Arabidopsis thaliana: one gene and its partners. The protein of the gene in region 3 interacts with the protein of the main gene of each other region in a pairwise test. Each region holds a gene or a part of one and is shown on either strand. Other genes may lie near its edges.

Region 1 (7,714 bases), 4.0 Mb from region 3:
GAAATCAAAGTGATTAACCTGTTTACCTCTAAAGCTATATGAGATAAAGAATTAGGCAACAATCTTCCTTCTTTTTATCAAGTCAATAAATTTTTTATTATATAAAGCTTGGTTTTTAAAGTTTAGTAATTTATAAGATTGTGTCACATGTCAACTTTAGTGATCTCATATAATTTTGACATTGATAAACCAAAATATCTTTCTATTAATTTTAAAAATATAAAACATAATTATAAAAATTTATAATTTTAAACAATTTAAAAATGTAAACAAATATTTACAAGGAAACTATACTTATATATCATACGTAAAACAATTTAAAAAATGTAAAATGGATAATTATAAAGAAACAATCTGTATTTTATTATATAAAAACAGAAATTATTATATCATTTACTTATTCTGACTTAAGTTTAAAAAGATTACTTTTTCCTTCAAAATTAAAAAGAGATTTAAGAAATTATACAATTAATTAATAAAATACTACTATAATTAAGGTAATTATACAGTAAAGTATTAATCTTAGAAAAATGGTGAGGTAGCTGAGTATCTTTCGCAACAGTTCTTCTAAGTAGTTAGCAATTTTTTTACCACAAACAAAACTAGTTGTGCCTAAAAAACATTTTTTTCTCCTCCGTTAGATCTTCAGTCCGATCTCTGCCATACCTGTACCTAGCTCAAGATGTGAGAGCCCATTTATTTACAGGCTTTAACCCATTTGTTTAACACAATTGCCGAATCAAATAACTATTGTTTTGTTTTGAGGTCGACTAAAACAAAGTAATTAGTGAGTTACAAAAATAACAGAACTGCACTAAACGACCATAATTTTAAATGGATTAAGTATATGAACTTTTTAGTTTACAGTATACACTAAATGACATAAATTTAGAAAGGACCCATGACTTGTAGTGGTGAGTCTATGTAACACAACTTGAAATTAAATTGGTATATAACATACTGTTCACAGAATTTTTTTGAAGGCTATTCAAACTCTAACAACAACGACATTAAAGATGATATTGTTATGTTATATTAAACTATATATATTTCATCTTGGATTCCATTTAACAAAAGACATGAGTTTAGAAGAAATAATATGAATTTCGAAGGAAGAACATCATATATCTTAATACAAGTTTATAGCCATTATGTTCATGAAGGGTGGATGAGTGAAACTCCATGGAATTTACAAAAATAAAAATTTCATCATTCTACCCTTAAAAGAAAATCTTGTGGATCTACCACTTTGAGAAAGTTAAACTGAAATTATAGGTATGTTTTGGTAGTCGTCTAAAAAACTTGTCCATAATATGTTGTGGTCAATCAAAAGGTGGCCATTAAAATCTACCAAACATATCATTTATGGACTAGTTCTTGGGGGTTTAGCTTTGATGGACAAATTTTAGTGAACAAGTGGTAATATACCAAAACATATTATGGACAAATTTTTGATGAATTAACTAAAAAATACCAATTTTAGTACTATTTTGTAGAAATGGCAGGTCCATAAAATTTTAAAAGAGAAGATAGAATGAGTAAAATATCCTTAGAAAATCTAAGTCTAACAACAACAAAAGTTTCTTAAACAACATCAAAGAAAATTTAGTACAAAAGTTTCTTAAACAACATCAAAGAAAATTTAGAGCCCATGTTCTAGTGGTGATTGAGAATTGAAGAAAGGTTGAAAGGAACTAATCCATGTTTGGTCCACCCTCGAAACAAAAAAAATTATATTTGTGTGAGATGTCTGGGTTTGAGCCAAATACCTAAACATCTTATCTGGTAGTCACTAATATATGATCTGGTCGAAAAATAGTCCAAATTCAGAACAAACAGTGTAGTGGCCCTTTTGAAAAAAATGTACTTTAAAGCACTTCTTTTTTATCTGTGTTAATCGGACCAGCTAATAAGATTAATTTTAAAAAAAAACACAAATTATCATACGAATTTATTCGTGTGTTTTGCAATATATATTTTCGAAAACTTGAGGATACTTGGATCATATATAGAAGCATGACGACGAAAATAACACAATATGTACAATTTGATACAAGAAAATGATAATAAAATTTACAAAACAATTTGCCAAATAACATGTTAGTTAGAGTATAGCACCCATCCAATTAAATAGCTTTTGCAAATGACATAAGTTTCTAAAATATCCACTTAATTAATTTTCTTTTCTTACGTTTTTTACATCCTAACTAACACTAGTATACTCAATTAATTTTTCGTAACATTGGTTACATACCTAACTAACTAGCTCTAGAAAATATATTAAAATCGGGACAAGTCAACCATTAGACATGTGTAAGCTGAACCAAATCGAGTCATTTATTTTCCCAGTAACCCACTCTCACCAAGACCAGAAAAAAAGCGTAGATCCAGAGGCGACAATATTCAAACACACAAAAAGTCATCAATATATATAAATAAATAAAAGAAAATACAATTCCTCTTCATATAATTCATATTTTCATGTTACGAAAACAAAAAAGATCACCGACACATAAAACTAAACCAAATATTTCAATGAAAAATTAATTAACGACTTTGACGCTTTATTTCTCTTTCTCTCTTCACTCTCTCATTATATCTCTTTCGCTGCCGCTTTTGTTACTTTTTGTTCGTTCGAATCCCAATATAGACCAACGAAGAAGAAGACGAAGAAGCAGTCTCTCAAACTTCTTCTCCAGATCCGAATCTCACTCTCATTTCTCCGATCTCTCTATTTGAATGACCTACAATTTCGCATCTCTTTTGATCTTGATCTCTGTTTCTCTCCTTCTACTGGTAAGTGATTTCCTTAATCCGTTTCTCTGATTTTCTTATTCCTTCCTTTAACCTTGTATCTGAAGCTTCCTCCGGAACTAGGTTTACGATTTGTTTAATTTTGGAATTCGATATCGATATTTTGTTGTGCGTTAATTGTGTGTTTTTATCGTAGCTTTGTTTCTCTGTTTATCAGATCCATTGATAAGAAGCTTTTTAGATTGTTAATGGCATAAGCACGATATGTTTGTTTGTTTTGTAGAATCTCTTGTTTTGAGTAATCACTAATATACACAACGGCGGCGATGAGGGGGAGATCAGAAGGAGGGAAGAAAAAGCCGGTGATTGTGTTACTCTGCGTTGCATCAGTAGTGCTTGTTTTTGTATATCTCTTCTTTGGTTCCTCTAACCATAAAGCTATTGAGTATGGGAGGAAACTTGGTTTGGGTGGTGATGATGATGATAGTACTAAGAAAGATGACACTTCTAGCTCTTTTTATGTAGAAGATGTAGTAGGGAATGGTTTCACTCCCAGAAGCTTTCCTGTGAGTTCTTTAGACCTTCTTTGTGTAATTGATGATTGAGTTGAGCAATATGTGTTTAATATTGTTGTTAATTCTTGTAAAGGTGTGTGATGATCGACACTCGGAGCTTATTCCTTGCTTAGATAGGAATCTTATATACCAAATGAGATTGAAGCTTGATTTGTCTTTGATGGAGCATTATGAACGTCACTGTCCTCCTCCTGAAAGGAGGTTTAATTGCTTGATTCCTCCTCCTCCAGGGTATAAGGTGTGTTATTTCTCTAGCTTTGTTGATATGATCAGTGTCTTGACATATTTTGAAGTTTTTTTCTATGTGAATGTGTCTAGATTCCAATCAAGTGGCCGAAAAGCAGAGACGAAGTTTGGAAAGTGAACATTCCTCATACTCACTTAGCGCATGAGAAGTCTGACCAAAACTGGATGGTTGTTAAAGGAGAGAAAATCAATTTCCCTGGTGGAGGCACACATTTTCATTATGGTGCTGATAAGTATATTGCATCAATGGCAAATGTAAGGCAGTTACTAGATCTTATGTGGAATAGAGGTGTGTGTCCATCTTCATTTACTGATACTATTCATGGAAATTGCAGATGCTTAATTTTCCGAACAATGTTTTGAACAATGGGGGAAGGCTGAGGACATTTCTTGATGTTGGCTGTGGTGTTGCTAGCTTTGGAGGTTATCTTCTTGCATCAGAAATTATGACGATGTCTTTGGCACCTAATGATGTTCATCAGAACCAAATCCAATTTGCTCTTGAGAGAGGGATTCCTGCATACCTCGGCGTTCTAGGGACCAAGAGGCTCCCATACCCAAGCAGATCCTTTGAACTTGCTCACTGTTCACGTTGTCGTATCGATTGGCTTCAAAGAGATGGTATTCTTCTTCTCGAGCTAGACAGGGTGCTAAGACCTGGTGGCTATTTTGCATATTCATCTCCAGAAGCATATGCACAAGATGAAGAGGACCTCAGAATATGGAGAGAAATGAGTGCTCTTGTGGGCCGTATGTGTTGGACGATAGCTGCAAAAAGGAATCAAACTGTAATTTGGCAAAAACCTTTGACAAATGATTGTTATTTGGGAAGAGAACCTGGAACCCAGCCTCCTCTTTGCAATTCTGACAGTGACCCTGATGCTGTGTATGGTGTAAACATGGAAGCATGCATTACTCAATACAGTGACCGTGAGTTTTCATTATTCTATCTTCTTTTCACTAACAGAGTTTCGTCATTAACTTCACAAGCTTGTGATATTGCATATCTGAGAACAAATATGCTCACTAAATTATTTTTCAACGTTTCTATTAGATGACCACAAAACCAAGGGAAGTGGATTGGCTCCATGGCCAGCTCGATTAACCTCTCCTCCTCCTCGGCTAGCTGACTTTGGCTATTCCACTGACATTTTTGAGAAGGATACAGTATGTTATGCCCATTATCCTTTTTATTTGTTGCAATTGAAGCTCCAATAATATAAAGACTGTAGTCACCTTAAATCATTGCTTGCTCATACAGGAAACTTGGAGGCAGAGAGTAGATACTTATTGGGATCTCTTGAGTCCTAAAATTCAATCAGACACTGTAAGGAACATAATGGACATGAAAGCAAGCATGGGTTCCTTTGCTGCTGCTCTGAAAGAAAAAGATGTTTGGGTTATGAATGTTGTTCCTGAAGACGGACCAAACACGCTTAAACTAATATACGACAGAGGCCTGATGGGTGCTGTTCATAGCTGGTCAGTTTCTCCCTTAACCTTTCACTTAATCAAAATCCATTAGTATATATGTGCCTCTTATGATTTATCGTCTGATAATATTGCAGGTGTGAAGCGTTCTCGACTTACCCGAGGACTTACGATTTACTCCATGCCTGGGACATCATATCTGATATCAAGAAGAGAGGTTGCAGCGCAGAAGATTTGCTGTTGGAGATGGATCGTATACTTCGTCCAAGCGGTTTCATACTCATAAGGGACAAACAATCCGTAGTCGACCTTGTGAAGAAGTATCTCAAGGCTTTGCATTGGGAAGCAGTTGAAACCAAGACAGCCTCGGAATCAGACCAAGACTCGGACAATGTGATACTCATTGTCCAGAAGAAACTGTGGTTGACAAGTGAAAGCCTCAGAGATTTGGAGTGATTACGATGATGATGATGATGAGGCCAAAAACTGCCTCCAACATGAAAAAACAAAACAACATTCACAAGAGATTTCTTTCTTGGGAGAATCTAATCGAAAACATACAACGAAGAAAATTCGTTTTATAGCGGCAATTTAACGTTCTTTTCTCTTAAATCTTTCTTTCTTTACATATTCATATAATGTTTGTATGGTTCGTTAGAGAGGACTAAAGTTTCTTATCAATTTAAACTCTTTTTGTTGCAATTTATGTATTAAATCATTGTTTAATAGATTGATGATTATTCATTACTAAACACTATATTCAATCTTAAGAGTCATACTTCATAAAGCTTAAATCCAAAAACTTGGGATGATGAGAAATCATCTCTTTGAGCTCTTTAGAATAATAGTTGTAATGAATGGAGAAGAGTGATTGAAACAAAGGTATGCGTGCTGTTTACTTAGTCCCCATTATATAACTCACTCTCAGAAGTAACTTTACTGTTGTTGGAAGAAATCTTTAGGTTATGTCCCAAGCAAAATTGAAGATAAGTTATTGTTCTAAGAGACAAAAAGGAAATATAATTAAGAATAATTGCATTTGATGATTAGAACATTTTATTGGTCCAAAAAGGAGACTAAACATGTGAAAGCATTCTACAATTTTTTTTTTTTTGTCTCGTGGACACAAAGCTGAAGCTGTTGTCCACTTCTTTAAGTTAACTCCCATAATCGATGCCCCTCACTTTCTCGATTATATTCTATCCAAATTCAGTAATTGATTTGAAATTTCTTAGCCATGAGTCCATGACAATAACAACTTTATATTTGCGTTTTATGGCTAAACTCATACAACAATATATTTTTAACTTTATTTTTACATTTTATCCTTCTTAATTCTTATGTTCAGTTTAGCTAAATTATATTTACATGCGAAATGATAAGCATGAAGATTTTGTTTAGGTGACATATTTGCTAACATCTCTTTAAAATGTATATTAAAAAAAACATAAAATATTTTGGGCATAAAACTTAATGTGGAATTTTATTAGTTGTCTCATTTAATATGTTTATTTAATATATCTGTATTTGTGGTATTATAATGAATAAGACATTAAATATGAATAAAAATTCCAAAATAATATTTGCACGTTTATGATAGAAATAATAAAAGTCTATTTAATAACTTGAAAAGAAATGACATGTAGAAACTGATTTCAAATGTTAAATACTTATATGGATACTGGATACATCATCCAAAACATTTTTCAACTAATTTTAATAAATAATATAAAAATACTTTTACCATTTCCTTACATACCAACTTAATAATTTTCAGACAATTAATCATGACGAACACATTGACCGTTACATCATATGAATGATAAAACAAAAATAGTGGTTTCTGTTTTGGTTTTCCTATTACTAATTGTTGGAAACCACTTCAATTATACGCGTTACGTAGTTTGATACATTGAATATATGGTACAATATACATTAAATTTATTTTCGAAAAATATGAATGTGATACATACCTACAAAGTTTGGCAAATACAAAAATGGTCCCCAACGTTACTCTCCCCCACCTCAAAGCTGTTCATATCGCCCTTCAAAGATTGTGAAAATCAAACCCTTATCCTCTTAAAACCCTTAAAATGTTTTCTTCTAAAGAAAAAGTTGCTTTCTTATTTTTATTTTTATTTTGAATTCTGGTTTTGGCGCATACATATTAGCGAAAATTAGAGAAAAAATTCCTGTATATGCAAAAAAATTAACGTTTTTTTCCTACAAAATTTAGTATAAAAATCAATAAATATATTAAAATTATCACACAAGAATTAACTTTGAATTTCTTTTCCAGATTAGCTTTTAATATATTTTGCTTTGTAATAAAGAACATACTGTATTGAAATATGTTCTACTATTAACTAATATGAAGATTACCGGTAAAGAATTACTAATGTTTCATCTACATTAATTTTTGTGTGCCCATAATTTCAAAATTTTGCCTAGAGTGGGATCAATAATTTTGGTGAAGATTGAAGAAAAAAACTAAAATTTGGGGACAACATTACAAAAGAGCATTCAGTATTTGGAAAGCTTAGGACCATGGTGATTTAGAAGCGCCACGGGCGTGATGCATACTGCATCTTCGGCGGACATCAAGGCTTTTGAAACCTTTTTCTAATTTTGTTATCTATATAATTCACATCAAATAGAATTAGTGAACTAATGTTTACAAAATTAGGTAAAACATAAATTATATGTAT
Region 2 (8,426 bases), on a different chromosome or scaffold from region 3:
GAGGATAAAAACTTGAAACTTTCCAAGAAAAATAGTCCTATAAATAAGACTTTCACGAAAACCTAAAAGATAATAGAACCTATGGGTATCAAAAAAACCTCTGCAACTGTTTTTCTTGTAATTATATTGACAATTTCGTTTTCTTATTACGATGTTGAGGCCGAGTCAGGTATGTTGTTTCTTTGCGAAGATGTTTATTTTTTTTTGTTATTTTCAACTATCTTTGATCACTACCAAAACAATAATTCAGGAAACAAAAAATTCTTAAAAATATAGAATTAGTAATACAATATTACATGTATCTGTGTATATGTATATGTTGTTAAGAACCTTGAAGAAACTAAAACTGTTATTTGGACATGTATCTACAGATTTATAGTTTTAATGTGGAGTTGTATATATGTGCAGTGATCGAGCCAGCAAAATATGGTGCTTGCCTTTTTCTATGTGATGCTAGACGGGATGATCATGCATGCTTCTATGACTGTACTAATGTAGCTATTTACCGGACTGGACATTGTGTTGGAAATCCTCCACGCTGTTGTTGCATCAGAGGATAATAATCGATTTATCTTCATGACTTCATCAATAATTGGTGAATGGAGCTTGATTTATGTGTTTTCTAGTATATGATTCTAAAAGATGAACTTTTTGAATTGTTGTTTTTCAATTTCTTGATAATGAATAAAACATATAACTTATCATGAATTTTGGTATTGGATTATGATTTTTGAGAGCTTATATGATCCAAAGCAGAGAACTTGGGGAGTGGTGAAAGGCCTTGAAGAAGGATTATTGCCTGGCGCTTGTAAGTGGTCAAAATGAGTTACCCTGGTGGGAAATTGGTTCTGTTCTTGCAGAAAACAGAGATCTTGTGTTTGCAGAAAAATTGCAAACCGAATCTTACATTTTCCATATCTCCTTACCCATTTTATGTTCGCAGAAAAATGAAAGACGTAAATTAGATTTCCTCACATTTTTTCACATAAAAAGAAAGAAAGATTTCCTCACATTTATTCAAGACTAGGTACAAAAATTCTTTGAAGATCATTTTGAAAAAGGATTAGGTCCACTAGATTGAAAAAGACTAGAAAGTAAAAAAAAATGAAGATATGTTTTCTTCTACATGAACCTTATGATGCAAATATCATTTTGGCCAAATACATAAAACAACAAAAATTTAACTTAATTTAAATCAAATTAACACCAAAAAGAAGATTAGAAAAAACATGTCTATTGAAAAAAGAATATGGAAGTATAAAGTAAAACAGTACTAACACACTATAAAAAAAAATGTATTATTCTTCGTTTTTCAACCAAACACTATGATTTGTGCTTACGTAACAAGGTCTGATTGATATTTTTTGTTTAATCCCGTAAGACTAAATATAAGATTCGCTCAATCGTCAAGTAGTTTAGTTATTAGCTAATCAAAATATGATTATCTTTTTTATAATTTAGTTAAATAATTACACTAATGTGAGCTGGTTTGACTTTTGATTTTAACCACAAGAAGGAGACAGTAAGACAGACTAATGATTAGCTGGTTTATTACATTTGACAACAAATCTCTCACGCGTCAGAGATGACGTGGCGTTAACTATTCGGATATGAAAAGCCCTGCGTGTTTTAAAAAAATGGCATGGCCCATTGGGCTAGTTAAGTGAGAGTTTGTTTTTTTTTCTACCCCTAATATTACTATATTACACTCATGCCACAACCAAAAGCTAAATTAATATTGTTGTTTTTAATTGAAGGTTATTTGATATACAATATTAATGGAAAAAAACAAAATAATATATATTTTTTTTTACAGCAAAATAATTGAGAATCATATTACCAGAAACTTAATACAAAAAATAAGCTAAAAATTCCTTACAAAAATGAAGATGATGAAATATAGATTGAAAATATAATTTAGCAGTATATACAATATAGCAAATGATAAAGTGAATAAAACAAAGTTTTAGCAACTAAAATTAGCAAAAAAGCTTTTAAGGATAAAGATGATAACATTCTATTAACATTATATCTATGAGATAAGTACGTGACAAAACGAAAGAATTGGATAAAGAAGACATGAATGAATGGCAATAAAGATCAAAAATAGATCATACACTAATAATGACCAGATCAATAATGTCCTAATTAATTTATTAACACTTGATCAAATAATTTATTTTTTCGTTTTACTAATGGGTTGTTTTTTTGGATCACAGTGACCAAAGCAGCTTACCAAACGCGACACTTTAACCTCTATATATAAATCTCCGTCTAGATTCCTTCCTTATCTCTCTCTCTCCTTTCATTTTCACTACTTCTTCGTCTCTCTCTCTCTCTCTCTCTCTCTCTCTCTGTATCCCTTGTGTGTCGGTGATCAGATCTCGTGCCGACGAAAACGTGCGTCTAAAGCAATGCTGTTCGCACTCTGCTATCTTCAATTCCTCGATTTATCTTGAACTGCGATTGTTTGTTGTTGTTTCGATTTCGTTGGGGGTAATTGGGTGAATTAGAGAGGTGAATGAGAAATTCGCCTGCGATTCTGTCTCTGTCGGTGATCGATTGCCGGAGCAGAACCAGGTCGGATTCTAGCTTCGCCATTTGGAGTAGTGGTCGATGGGGCCAATGCGGCTGATCTGAATTTCTATTTCCCTCCCCCCAATTCAGATCGAATTCTAGGGTTCTTCTAATTCCTGGGTTTTTAGTCTGTGTTTCAATTGAGTCACGATGCAGCAAGATAATCGCAAAAAGGTGAAACAAAAACTCTTCCTTTTTTCCAATTATTCCATCCGATACTATCTGTTCTGTCTGAGATATTTATGTGTGTGTTTCGGTTAATCTTGTTTGTTTCCTGTTACTGTCTTTAATCTTTTTGCCGTTTTGGACAACTCTGTTTATGATCAATGAACGTTACAAGTGTCATCAAACAAACAACGCATAATTGTCATCATTCAAGACAAGATGATGTGTTGTTGAGACATTTTTTTTATTTCTTCATCAGCAAATTGACATTCAATTGCATTGATCCTTCATTAGGCGTCCTTTGTAGCATCAGTAGAGAACCTTCTGCATCTGATTCTTGTATAGTGTTATCTCTATTGTAATGTTTCTGACTTGGAAGTAATGGTATTTGTAACAGAATAATCTGGAGATGGAGTTCTTTTCTGACTATGGCGATGCCAATAGATTTAAAGTTCAAGAAGTTATTGGAAAAGGCAGTTATGGAGTTGTTTGCTCAGCTATAGACACTCTTACGGGTGAGAAAGTCGCGATAAAGAAAATTCATGATATTTTTGAGCATATTTCTGATGCTGCGAGGATTCTACGTGAGATTAAACTTCTTAGACTCCTAAGGCATCCAGATATAGTTGAAATTAAGCACATTATGCTTCCTCCTTCACGAAGAGAATTCAAAGATATTTATGTTGTCTTTGAGCTCATGGAATCGGATCTTCATCAAGTTATTAAAGCCAATGATGATTTGACTAGAGAGCATTACCAGTTTTTCCTGTATCAGTTATTGCGTGCACTGAAGTACATTCACACAGGTAGTCTTTTTCTTTTGGTCTCTCTTTATCCGGCATCTAGCAATAGTCTTTTCATCTTCAAATCTCTCTGTGTGTATATATCGCTCTCTCTGTAGATGAAAATCTTGGACACTTGCAAAATGTAGTGTATGTCAGATTTGTCTTTTAGGACTTTACATTCTACAGTACTATCTCATACATTGATGCACTGAATTGGATTCTTGCGGTTTCCATTGTCTGGCTAAATGTTTGCCTTTTGAAGTTTGCCCCAATATATCTGAACTTTAACTCAGCTGTCGAGTTTGGTTTGTTGTATTATATTATCTTATGAATCTTGGTTGTTGCAGCTAATGTCTACCACCGAGACCTGAAACCAAAGAACATATTGGCAAATGCAAACTGTAAACTTAAGATTTGTGATTTTGGATTGGCAAGGGTTGCATTCAATGATACCCCCACAACAATCTTCTGGACTGTACGTTTGACAAGATGGCTCTCTAAGAGTCTTTTCCTTCTCTTAAACTGAAGTTGGTCTAAATATTATTCACTACGTTGCAGGACCTGATACTCTTCTACATTATTTTCTACTGAATTTACAGGACTATGTTGCTACCAGATGGTATAGAGCTCCAGAGCTTTGTGGATCTTTTTACTCTAAGGTGTTCATTTGTTCTCTATATAACATCTTTTAATTGGTGTGTTGCCGCGATATAACTTTTGATGGATTTGGCTTTGTAGTATACACCCGCAATTGACATCTGGAGTATAGGCTGCATTTTTGCGGAGGTGTTGATGGGTAAACCACTTTTCCCTGGAAAGAATGTGGTTCACCAGCTGGATCTTATGACTGATCTGCTAGGGACACCTTCCCTGGACACCATCTCACGGGTATTGATCTTCTTGCTAAACGAAGTCCATTGAGTTTCTACACATCTTAAGCAAGGACCAGTAGTGATGAGTACCCTGCTTTTATGATGTTATACAGGTGAGGAATGAGAAGGCAAGGAGGTACTTAACAAGCATGAGGAAAAAGCCACCCATTCCGTTTGCACAGAAATTCCCAAATGCAGATCCTTTGTCTCTGAAGTTGTTGGAGAGGCTTCTTGCTTTTGATCCAAAAGACCGGCCAACTGCTGAAGAGGTGCTTTTCAACTTCCATATTGACTAACTATCTCAAATCTTGAATTCTCGGCTTCCTGATTGTTTTCTCTCTCTAATAATAGAGTATCATGCATTTGGGGTTTCTATTGGAGTGAATCACTAAACTACTCTTGTATACTTGAATCAGGCACTTGCTGATCCATATTTTAAGGGATTGGCAAAAGTGGAAAGGGAGCCTTCATGTCAACCCATCACGAAGATGGAATTTGAGTTCGAGAGAAGAAAGGTCACTAAAGAGGATATAAGAGAGCTAATTTCTAGGGAGATACTTGAGTACCACCCTCAGCTGCTTAAAGATCATATGAACGGGGCTGATAAAGCCAGTTTTCTCTACCCAAGGTCGTAATTTTTGTTGATTACATTCTTGAGCTAGCATTGCATATCACACCCAGTCCCTGACATTGATGTATACTGTGCAGTGCTGTTGATCAATTTAGAAGACAATTTGCGCATCTTGAAGAAAACAGTGGTAAAACCGGCCCTGTGGCACCTCTAGAAAGGAAACATGCCTCTCTTCCCAGGTATATCCTCATTTTTTCTGTAAAGTCTGTTGTCACTTGATCTGGTTTCGGTGATCTCCTCTGTTTTTGACCCCCGTTATGCAACTGCTATACTAGTTGTATATTAATATACATTGACATGGCAAGGATAAAAAAGATGGAATCATAAGACCGTGACTATCTGTTTCTTGTGTTGAACACTAATTTCTATAAAAATATGTCCTTCTGACTCTGTGTTTGCATGCTTTCAGATCAACGGTCATACACTCAACCGCAGTAGCACGAGGAGGACAACCAAAACTTATGAATAACACAAACACATTGAACCCTGAAACTACTCAAAACATTCCTTTTAATCATGCAACAATACAAGCACAACAAAGAAACCTCTCAGGTACTTTTAATCACTCATCCTGAATCCAACAGCAATGTGTCCAAACTGACCTCTATAAACTGTAAAACATCTATCTACACGCAGCAGCCAAACCAAGCACATTCATGGGCCCGGTTGCACCTTTCGACAATGGCAGAATCAGCAGAGATGCATATGACCCGAGATCATTCATCCGGAGCACTAATCTCCCCTTTTCACAACAATCTGCTGCAACAGTCGCCATGGGAAAGCAGCAAGAGAGAAGAACAACTATGGAGCCTGAGAAGCAGGCAAGACAAATATCTCAGTATAATAGATATGCACCAGATGTAGCCATCAACATAGACAACAACCCGTTTATCATGGCTAGAACGGGAATGAACAAAGCCGAAAACATCAGTGACCGGATCATAATCGACACAAATCTGTTACAGGCAACTGCCGGAATAGGAGTCGCAGCGGCAGCTGCAGCAGCTGCTCCTGGTGGTTCTGCTCACCGGAAAGTTGGAGCTGTTCGGTACGGTATGTCAAAGATGTACTAGTTCTCCACCTAAGCTGGGCTTTCATCACACAGAACATTGTATGTTTCCATCTTCATGTCATAAAAGAAAATTGTCTATGACACAAAACCATATGAGCAAAAAATATTTTTTTTATTAATTGTGATCCATCATTTGTTTGTTTTTTCTATTCCGACAAATAAATAAATGGATGTTAGATTCTGGTATATATAACAAGAAAGGTTGAGAGTTTTTCACGTTTAAAAGAACCGCTGGCTACAGAAGATGGATCAGTGTGGATGCGCATGGTGATGATGATGATGGTTTCATGGCACATCCAAACGCATGTGGTGGTGGGAACCCATATCACAGGCACCACTTTGTTCTTCCAAATGTCAGTAGAAACAGAAAGGTGCATTGTCACTTGATCATATCTTTAAACCAACCAATTTGTGTATATATTTTTGTGTAAACAGTTGAGTTCGCTTACTTTCTTCCTAAACAAGTTATTTCTTCTACAAATTAATAAATGAGCACAATGAGAGATTGCTGTTCAATAAATAGTATCTCAAAATAGAAATATCAAAATAAAATTAGAAAAAATCATTTAAAGATTATTTATTCACTTCTATTTTAATTAAAATAAAAATAAAAAAATTTGGGATCTTTCTTCTTCTTTCTGATTATAAAGTTTTTAATAAAATAAGTTTTAAAGCAAAAGAGAGATATAGCAAGTGAAAATGCATGTACAATTGAAAAAAATGCAACTAAATGAGGCCAAGAGAGGAGACAAATAAGGTTAGAGGTGGACCCAAAAACCACTGTATGCATTGTCCCAGAGATCACCCATCATGGTAGGTCCACCTGTGTGGCCCATATCTCCAGCCTTTATAGAAAAAAAGAGAAGATAACTAATTAACTTCCCTTGATTTGGAGTTTTTTAGCTAAACATTACATATTTTCTTTCTTAATCTTCCCCTTTCTTAATTCTTAAAAAAACATATACTGTCTTGTCTTTAACCAAACTCTTCTCTTTTATTTTTGTGGCAACAAAAATAAATAGTGAAAGGGAATCATCTCAAACTCCTCCTAGATATAAATATTTAGGTTTTCGTCATTAAATAAAAGTTATTTTGGAAAAAATAGAAACAACGAACAAGATACAAAAGGACATAGAATTGATTATTCCAAGACGACGAATGTGAAAGCTGGCTAAAAGCTAAAATTAAATTTCGAGTGTGTTATTTTTGTAACATATTTAATGTAAGTGCAAATACATAAATAAATAGATACTAGAATTGGGGAGAGTGTCAGTTTGGTAGATGGTGAAATGCGAAAGGCACCCGATTTTTGTAAATCTCAATCCCGAGAAACCAAACCCTCCTTCGTCCCCTCTTTGGAAACATCATCTCTTTCTTTATTTCTCTCTTCCATCTTCTTCTTCTTCTAAAACAACATCTTAACAATTTTTAGTATTACTAAAAACCCTAGACGTAAAAGAAATGTGTTATTCTGTTCCTGATCTTTGTCTTAATTAAGACCATACATTATTTCTTTTAATTAGATGTCAATCATTATTCTTTACTAAATTTTTTTTCTTGAGTAGATTTAGGTTAATTTGCAATCTTGGATTAAAGACCTACAAAAATGCAATTGTTTTTTTTTAATGCAATTATTTTTTATTAAGTCTTTATCTAGTTTTTATATCATATAGTTGACAAAAGAAATGCACCGGAGGGCTCATTTATGGAACCAACATTAAGTAAGATTTACTATAACGGTTTTATGTATAAAAGATGTATATTATAAAGATCTCTAGCTAGAAACATGTAACACTATATTCGAATCCAATAACACTAAACTTCCTTGGCTTTCTTCTTGTTATATAGTGGCCATTTCTCTAACATTATAGATATATTGAGATTGTTGTTTTTACGTGGTAAGAAATATGGGATGTTAATTGGAGTTTCTTTTAATAAGAAAAAGGAGTTGACAAAAAAAAAATGAAGGACAGATTTAGGAGGTCACTGAGGTGGGGGGGACCCAAAAAAGGGTTGACACGTGGCCACCATGCCCGATAGATATCATGTGGATCTTAGTAGGATTAGGTCCTCAATTGTACGAACAAGTTCACTATCTCTTAGAGGATCTATTTGATCTCATCCATCTAATAATAATACTATATTACAGTCTGTACATAATGTATAGAGAGGAGGAAGCACATGGGAATGGGGCTTTGAAGATGGAGATATTCATGTGACCCGCACATGTCCTCTCCTCTCTCTTCCTTGTTCCCATGCAAGTAGTGTCTCACTGTATCCTTCTTCTTTTCCTTCCTTATCTCCACGCGCGTGGTCGTTTTCAT
Region 3 (7,329 bases):
TTACTAATCAAAACTCAATCACGGAAGATTTGTAGAGATTAGAGATTTCAAACGAGAAAATTCAAACAACAAAAAACCTAGAAATCAAAAACATCACAAACCTCTTTAATAGGAGAATCGGGGAACACGGTTTATTAACTTACCTCTTGAAAATCAAATCAACGAAAAGTCCGAAGAATATCCAAAAGGAACAAATAGTAGACGAAGAAAACAGTCGAGCGACAAAGGACCAAAAATTCAGCAGAAAGGGATCATCGCCGAGAGGAATATTTTGTGGGTAAGTGTCTGAAAACGGCTGGAGATCCACGCAGACTTTTTTGAGTCTTTGACCCCTTTTTCAAAATTATTAATCTAATCAAATCTCATCTTAATAATAGTCAGACCGACGTGGATAAGTAAGTTATACCAATTTTTATAGGTCAAAGAATTAATTTGCACGAAACTCCTTGGCTACTATTAGGCCCAATTAATTAATTAGTACCGCAACTTCGCAATTCACATGGGCCGGTGGTTCAACATTAGGCCCCATGCCACGCCATATTCATCATTCATTTAATCATATGAGTTGGAGAACTCGAGTCAAATAGAGAGACTAAAATGGCTGGAATCTGGCACCAAGTTAGTCTCCTCAAGTTGTCATTAGATCTTATAAAATGATAACATTATGTTTATATCTGTTTCTTCTATTCTCTTACGGATATTACAAAGAATATTTCCCCATAGGCAAATCATGTTGCTACTTTAAAAATCTGCAATAAAAACTTCACTGTTTACCAAACATTTTGGATGAAAAAACTATCTTTGAAGTTTATACTAACCCTCCGATTCACCTATTTTTCATGTACAGAAAAGAATGCTAATGTACATTCGTAGTCCAAATAACCCCAATTCTATACAGTTCCGAGTAAAATGAATGATGATAAAGGCATTGTTCTTGCTTGTTATCCACTATGTAAATCTCGGATCTGGATTCTTCAAATTGAAAACAAAGAATGGCCTTAGAATTGTTGAATGAAGTTGCTCGTGACAAAAGCTATCTTCCTGCAAAAGTGAGTTGGAAACTGCCAGGCAAAAATGATAAAAGCTGAGAGCAGTGCTGCAAGTAGTAATGTAGATTGACAAACACATGCAATTTACTGAGTCCAAGGATATACCAAAGCAACAAGTGTTCTTTCTATGTCTATAAAAAGGTCAAGTGTGAAAGTTAACCTAACCAAAAGCAAGGTATAGTATAGTACCGTCCACAATCATTAGATGTTCTATCAACAGAGACTAGAATGAAGTGCTTCTAAGGATCTGGATAGAGGAGACTTCTTTCGAGAGGCTTCTGCAGCAGATGATTGGGATCCTTTGTAAATGTCTCCAGCTGAATGGTGCTTAATCACCTACAAAAGGTTGAAAACCCACTTGCTATGTCTGTGTAAGTTTTAGAGGAGTACTGAGACAAGAAAAGCAGCATACTATGATGTAATATCAATACTATGTGGCCTTTGTTTGTTAGTGAGAAACAAGTTTCACCTAACCTAGAGTGGCAAAGAGCTAAAAAGCATGGTTGGGTGATCTAGATAGTTCAATCCAATTCTCACTATATTGCATACAGTTTCAAAAGAAAGGTCCGAAAAGAAGCATCTGGAAACCCAATTGGTAAAACCATAGACAAACCAAGTATAAAAACCTCAACTACAATGAGTACACAAACAACTTAAGAGAAGAATAGGTAGAAATAAAAAGACCTGTGTTGCATTGGGCAAAGTGATATTGCTTAGGCCGCCATCTAACAGAGGAGTGTAGGAGGCAGGTTCGTCAATAGAATCTTCCAAGATTTCGTCAGAACGTGAACGTTGCTTAGCTATAGCAGGAGCCTGTAAGAAGCTATTTCGTAATTCTGGATCACGTGAACGTTGCCTAGCTAAAAGAGGAGGTTCTAAGAAGCTATTCCGTAAATCTGAATCTGATTGACGGGGAAATGGAGAGTCTATAATAGAAGCTCCCAGCCTATAGATCTGAAACCATAACAGAGAGGACGATAGCCTCACAACGAACCCAGCAATTTCCATAGCCAGGGTGAGTTTCACAGAGAAGATGTAAAAGACTTGATACATATCAGATGAAATGTTCCTGCATTAACAATTAAATCTTTTGTCAGTTATAGGCAGCAGATGAATACTGGCTCAACAGAATCTAAACACGACATAGCAAAGATTTGCAAAAAAAAAGGTTTAAAGATCAATCAGTTCAAAAAGATGATGAGCCAATCAAGAGAAATTCAGGACAGTTTACAATATGTGATGCAATGAAAATTAAACAAGACAGAGCAAACTCTTAAACCAAATATTTGATCATGATCACAAGCACGGCTGTTCCAAGGATAGTGACATACCAAATCTCTTTGGAGAAGAGAATGAACCATGAGACATCAAGAAGAATGGCGCAGAAAAGAAGAACCGCATAGGTTCTGCCAAGACTTTGGCTATTACTCTCGATTGCTACTAACCCAAATAACGCAATCGCCAAATTTATCAGCACGACTCCATTGTACAATGCCCCTAGTGAACCGATCAACGCGCACCCTATCTGAAACAAATGATTCATCAATATGAGTTTCTTGCACTTCTAACCACAATTAAAAGAATAACAAACAAATATCGACAGAGAAATCGTAGAACCCTAATCCCAAACAGATACGAACAATTCACGAGAAAAAACGTGAAATCGGAGGAAATGAAACAACTACAAAGCGATTACGGATTTACCTGAGCATAGATAAGAATCAAAACGACAGATTGGAGCCTAACGTAGTCGCGAAGCCAATTATGTATTCGATTTCGTAACGAAACACAAAGCATCGTAAAATCTCAACCTCGCAGCTCTCGTTACTTGTTACTTCAATGGACTTTCATAATACAAAATGGCTCGACGATTCTGATGCTAAATTGCAATTTTCCGGCGAACGAAATCGGTGAATCAAGAGAGAACGACGATTTGAGAATTTTCGTGAGGGAGAAAGTAAAGAGTGTCTTTGGCGGGATCGCGTTGCAGAAGAGGCAACAAAATAAAAAAATGAGGAAACGAAATATTCCGTTCAATCGTGACGAAGTTATTATAAGATTTAAGGAGGTTTCCGTTTCTTGTCCAGAGTGACGGACGCTTAACGGAGTCACGAAATTTTGGGCCGTATTGGAAAATCTTTAAAAGCCTAATCAAGCCCAAAACTTCAGACCGGTTAATATCTGAACATAACCGAAACCGGTTATCTCGGTTAGCGATTTTCGTTTCAAAAACGACGCCGTTAATTCCTTACATGTCGACTACTCATATGTGTCGCCCAGATTTGAAGATCGGAGATATGAATCTCTTCTTTCTCTGGATTTGAAAGTTCGATAAAAATCTACTGATACATCGACTTCTGGAAGCGATCTCGATCTCTCTAGGTTTGTGATTATCTTTGAATTTGCTGATTGTTTCGTTAGGCGTGAGGAATTGTTCGATTGATTTTTTTTCCTTTTGTCTCCGGTAGAATTGTTTCGACGACGAAGATGAAGAAGATTCAAATTGGTGCGGTGGCGCTATTGGTGTTTCTATCTGTGGCCTCTCTCTTTGAAATCGGATTGGCTTCTCCGAACACAGTTCCTGCTTTCCTCTGGTCTCCGCATCTCCAGTTATGCATCTTGTTTTCTCTATAATTCTCAATTTGATTGATGGAAATGTGTAAAAAGCCTGGGACTTGTGATATCTGATGTGAGTTAGCTTAGATTACTGGGTTGATTGGTTTATGTGATTCTGAAAATCAGGTCTGCTAATGGTGAATTGGATGAGGCTGTAAATTATCAGGTCATGTCTGCAAAGGATCTAGTTGGTTCTGTTTTCACTCAAGGAGGTTGGTCAAACTTTCTGGTATGGTTTCTTCTTCATGATCTTATGATTTCAATTCTACAACTCACTGGATGTCAAATGATTTTTCTTATTGTCATTACTGTCTCCTTTGTTTAGTGCTCAGAGAAGAAGCTTGAGCAACCTGTTGATGTTGCACTTGTGTTCATAGGCAGAGAGGTAATTGAATGATGTAGTATTGTTGTTTTAACATTAGCATAAATGACCTTGTGGATCTTTGGTTTCTTGTTGTGATATTGTAAAGAAACTGATGTTTTAATATTGCGGGAAATTAATCGTCTTTGCTCTGTATCTTCTGTGTTATGCTGAGAATTCTAATATTCACGTTCTCTTCCGCCTGCAGTTACTGTCTTCTGATGTTTCTTCAAAAAGGAACTCAGATCCTGCCCTTGTTAACACATTGAATGTAAGTGCAAATTTTCTTTTCTTCAACAAGAAATTTCGAAATTGCATCCGTAACACAGATCTCTGACATAGTTGTTTGATATAAAGTTTACAATACTCTAACATCCAAGTCTTTGTTTCAACAGAATCTATTTACAGCTTCCAACTTCTCATTGGCATTCCCATATATTGCTGCTCCAGAGGAAGAAAGGATGGAGAATTTGTTACTTTCAGGGCTTAAAGAAGCTTGTCCCAACAATGTAGGAGTCAGCAATATCGTGTTCTCAGATTCGTGCTTTGTTGAGGATGGAACAATTCAGAAACTTTCAGACTTGCAGTCTTTCAAAGTAATACTCATTGCTCTTAAGTTTTTATTTTCCCTAATCCCATGCCTTCCCAGTGTTATCACCCCCTTAACTTCACTTTCTAATACTCATTAATAATTGACAGGATCATTTGCTTGCTAGAAGAGAAACAAGGAAAGAAGGAGAAACTGACTTGGTTGTGCTCTGTTCCGAGGGTTCTGAATCGAATAGTCAAGCTGGACAGTCACATTCAGAGCGTAAGTGGAAAGATCATTACAAAATAATACTAACAATTAGATATCATTTGAGAACTAGGAAATTAAGCAATTCTTTGACCTATTCTGCAGGTGAAAGCTTCTTGGAACTTGTTAGTTCTGTAGAACAATCCGGCAGTAAATATACAGCTCTTTATGTTTCTGATCCTTATTGGTACACATCTTACAAAACTCTCCAAAGGTTTCTAGCTGAAACTGCTAAAGGAAACAGTACTCCTGAAATTGCTACTGGCTGTGATGAACTCTGCAAATTTAAGTCATCACTTTTGGAGGGCATACTAGTGGTAATTACTCTTTTTACTCGTGTTTTTTTGGTATTCATCGTTCTCAAGAAAGATTCATAAACATCATAGAATGGACAAGTTTAATGAGCATCTTGGTCATATCTAGCTGGAAGATAATTTAATTCAATGTGTTAAAATTTCGTAAAAGCCTTTGATTATGTCTCGTCCTTTTCTTTTTCTTTTTGCAGGGAATCGTTTTTCTTCTCATCTTGATCAGTGGACTTTGCTGTATGGCGGGTATCGATACACCGACTAGATTCGAGACTCCTCAAGATTCTTAAGCTGTTGACCTTAAGAGCCATCCCCACCTTTTGCTTTGCTTTTGACGAGTCTTTTCTTGTGCATAGTGCGCATTGTGGAAGGTACTTCAATGTCGATTTGTTACATTATTACTTCAAAACAAAATCTGCATATGCCATAAAATCCCCTTGTATCATTTATTCATCTTGTTTGTGAGTCTTTCTTAAACGTCATAAATTAATAATGGAGAACGAGTAAAAAACCAGAGATACATACACTGGAGAACGGATTACATTCTTTTTCAGAATTTTTTTTGTTTCTTTTTCTTAGATTATATTCCGGAGTTATCGTGCTCATAGTATCGTATTCATATCAATTTGGGGATTCGGACATAGATTTTCTGGAAGAAAAAAACTCAGGACAATAATGTCGGTAGAGTCAGAGTGGTAGGACATGTGTGTGTACCATCACTTGTATAGATAGATAGAAAGATAGATATAGATGATAGTTTTGTGAACAATTAAGAAAATAGTAAGAATACATATATAAGTTTTGTCATGCAACATGCAATTCTAATCCAAATTTAATGTTTGCCTCGGCATGTTTAGTCATTATTAAGTAATATCGATTGAGCAATTAGCAGTTTATAATTTATCTAGATAGACCTTTTGTTTTGACTATTTCGTTGATTTGTTCCATGATTCAATACTTAGCAAAACATCTTCATATGTTGGGGTCCTTATGGTCCCTGCATGGACCTATTGACAAAGTCATAAGATCAATCTTTCAGATTCTTTGATTGACCTCTCTCTCTCCATAAAGAAGCGTATAAAGAATCAAAATGACCGAAAACGATGGTTCTATTCATCTTTTCCCCACTATACATACTCCTACATTTATTCTAACATAACACTATTCGTATCCCTGTTTTTTTCAAAGTTTATACTATAACAAATACATGACTGTATTTGTCTAATTACGAAGAAGTTTCAAAAGCATCATTTATGAACAATGTTTATCTTTTTTTTTCTTACACAAACATTTATAAAAAATCATGTCACCATGACATGTAGCTTAGTTTTATACTAGCGATATTTTTGTGTCATCGTCCGAATTAGAATTTGCATATAATGCATATTATCGATAGAATTTATACGACTTTGTTTTCTATACTGCCACATAATTGAAATTTAAAGATTAGAAATATTACGTATAGGTTTTTTATTGAAAAAAATATTTTCAGTTTCGCACAAAAATATATGTAAAAAACAAATAGAGGGAAGCACATGAGACATAGGGGTTTGAGCCAAAAGAGCAGTGAAAATCCCATCGATCTGCCACTCCACCAACTGACATCACATTGTACCCATTTTCTTCTTCTTTTCCTCAACTATCCATTTTTCTTGTTTAGACAGACACCCCCGCAAATATTTATTACCTGAACTATAACAACAACCAAATTTTGAAATATAAAGAACAATGTTGAACTAACAAATTTGCTTCATCTTTTATTTGCTTTAGCTTTCATACGTAAAATCTCTTGTGGCGTTCACTTCAAATTTTATAAAAAAAAAAAAAAAATTATCTTCTGTTTAACAACATATGACATCTTAAATTGATATTTTAATAATAATGAAAAACTATAAAAATGTACGGCCACGCAAAAGTGACCTACTCGAGCAGGTCCTTTTTTGATCTTTTCGATAACTTTGAGATTCCAAGTGCTGATTTCTGTGAATTTTTGTATATATATACACACATATTTTTGTCAAAGAAACAATATATATATATATATATATATATATGTATATAACTGACGGTCTCTATTTACCGATTACTTGTTTATAAATTAACTTATACGGAGTATAAAATATAGATGTTTATTTAATAGTGCCCTTTCGAGTACCTGTCGGGATAACTAGCTAGGGTTACACGTAAATGTTGAGATTC

What was found. The genes of interacting proteins can lie anywhere in the genome.
Region 1: the proteins of AT3G13410 (region 3) and AT3G23300 interact in a protein complementation assay, tested with the Arabidopsis thaliana proteins (one large-scale study listed by BioGRID).
Region 2: the proteins of AT3G13410 (region 3) and MPK20 interact in a protein complementation assay, tested with the Arabidopsis thaliana proteins (one large-scale study listed by BioGRID).

Annotation. Positions count from the first base shown.
Region 1 is NC_003074.8:8,330,441-8,338,154, forward strand, and holds AT3G23300 (S-adenosyl-L-methionine-dependent methyltransferases superfamily protein), read left to right. Parts: upstream 1-2,356; 5' UTR 2,357-2,796; intron 2,797-2,826; exon of another isoform or gene 2,827-2,877; intron 2,878-3,037; 5' UTR 3,038-3,080; coding exon 3,081-3,320; intron 3,321-3,402; coding exon 3,403-3,567; intron 3,568-3,647; coding exon 3,648-3,830; intron 3,831-3,910; coding exon 3,911-4,505; intron 4,506-4,629; coding exon 4,630-4,742; intron 4,743-4,836; coding exon 4,837-5,057; intron 5,058-5,143; coding exon 5,144-5,462; 3' UTR 5,463-5,795; downstream 5,796-7,714.
Region 2 is NC_003071.7:17,838,249-17,846,674, reverse strand, and holds MPK20 (MAP kinase 20), read left to right. Parts: upstream 1-2,294; 5' UTR 2,295-2,727; coding exon 2,728-2,751; intron 2,752-3,139; coding exon 3,140-3,548; intron 3,549-3,874; coding exon 3,875-4,002; intron 4,003-4,126; coding exon 4,127-4,186; intron 4,187-4,265; coding exon 4,266-4,415; intron 4,416-4,512; coding exon 4,513-4,668; intron 4,669-4,815; coding exon 4,816-5,027; intron 5,028-5,107; coding exon 5,108-5,209; intron 5,210-5,439; coding exon 5,440-5,582; coding exon of another isoform or gene 5,583-5,605; exon of another isoform or gene 5,606-5,666; coding exon 5,667-6,103; 3' UTR 6,104-6,507; downstream 6,508-8,426. Other genes in the region: AT2G42885 (Defensin-like (DEFL) family protein), read left to right, coding at 82-169, 409-560.
Region 3 is NC_003074.8:4,360,240-4,367,568, reverse strand, and holds AT3G13410 (2-C-methyl-D-erythritol 4-phosphate cytidylyltransferase), read left to right. Parts: upstream 1-3,252; 5' UTR 3,253-3,431; intron 3,432-3,517; 5' UTR 3,518-3,536; coding exon 3,537-3,658; intron 3,659-3,791; coding exon 3,792-3,894; intron 3,895-3,990; coding exon 3,991-4,050; intron 4,051-4,234; coding exon 4,235-4,297; intron 4,298-4,421; coding exon 4,422-4,622; intron 4,623-4,725; coding exon 4,726-4,837; intron 4,838-4,927; coding exon 4,928-5,139; intron 5,140-5,327; coding exon 5,328-5,420; 3' UTR 5,421-5,934; downstream 5,935-7,329. Other genes in the region: AT3G13420 (uncharacterized protein), read right to left, coding at 1,263-1,385, 1,734-2,118, 2,381-2,574, 2,754-2,846.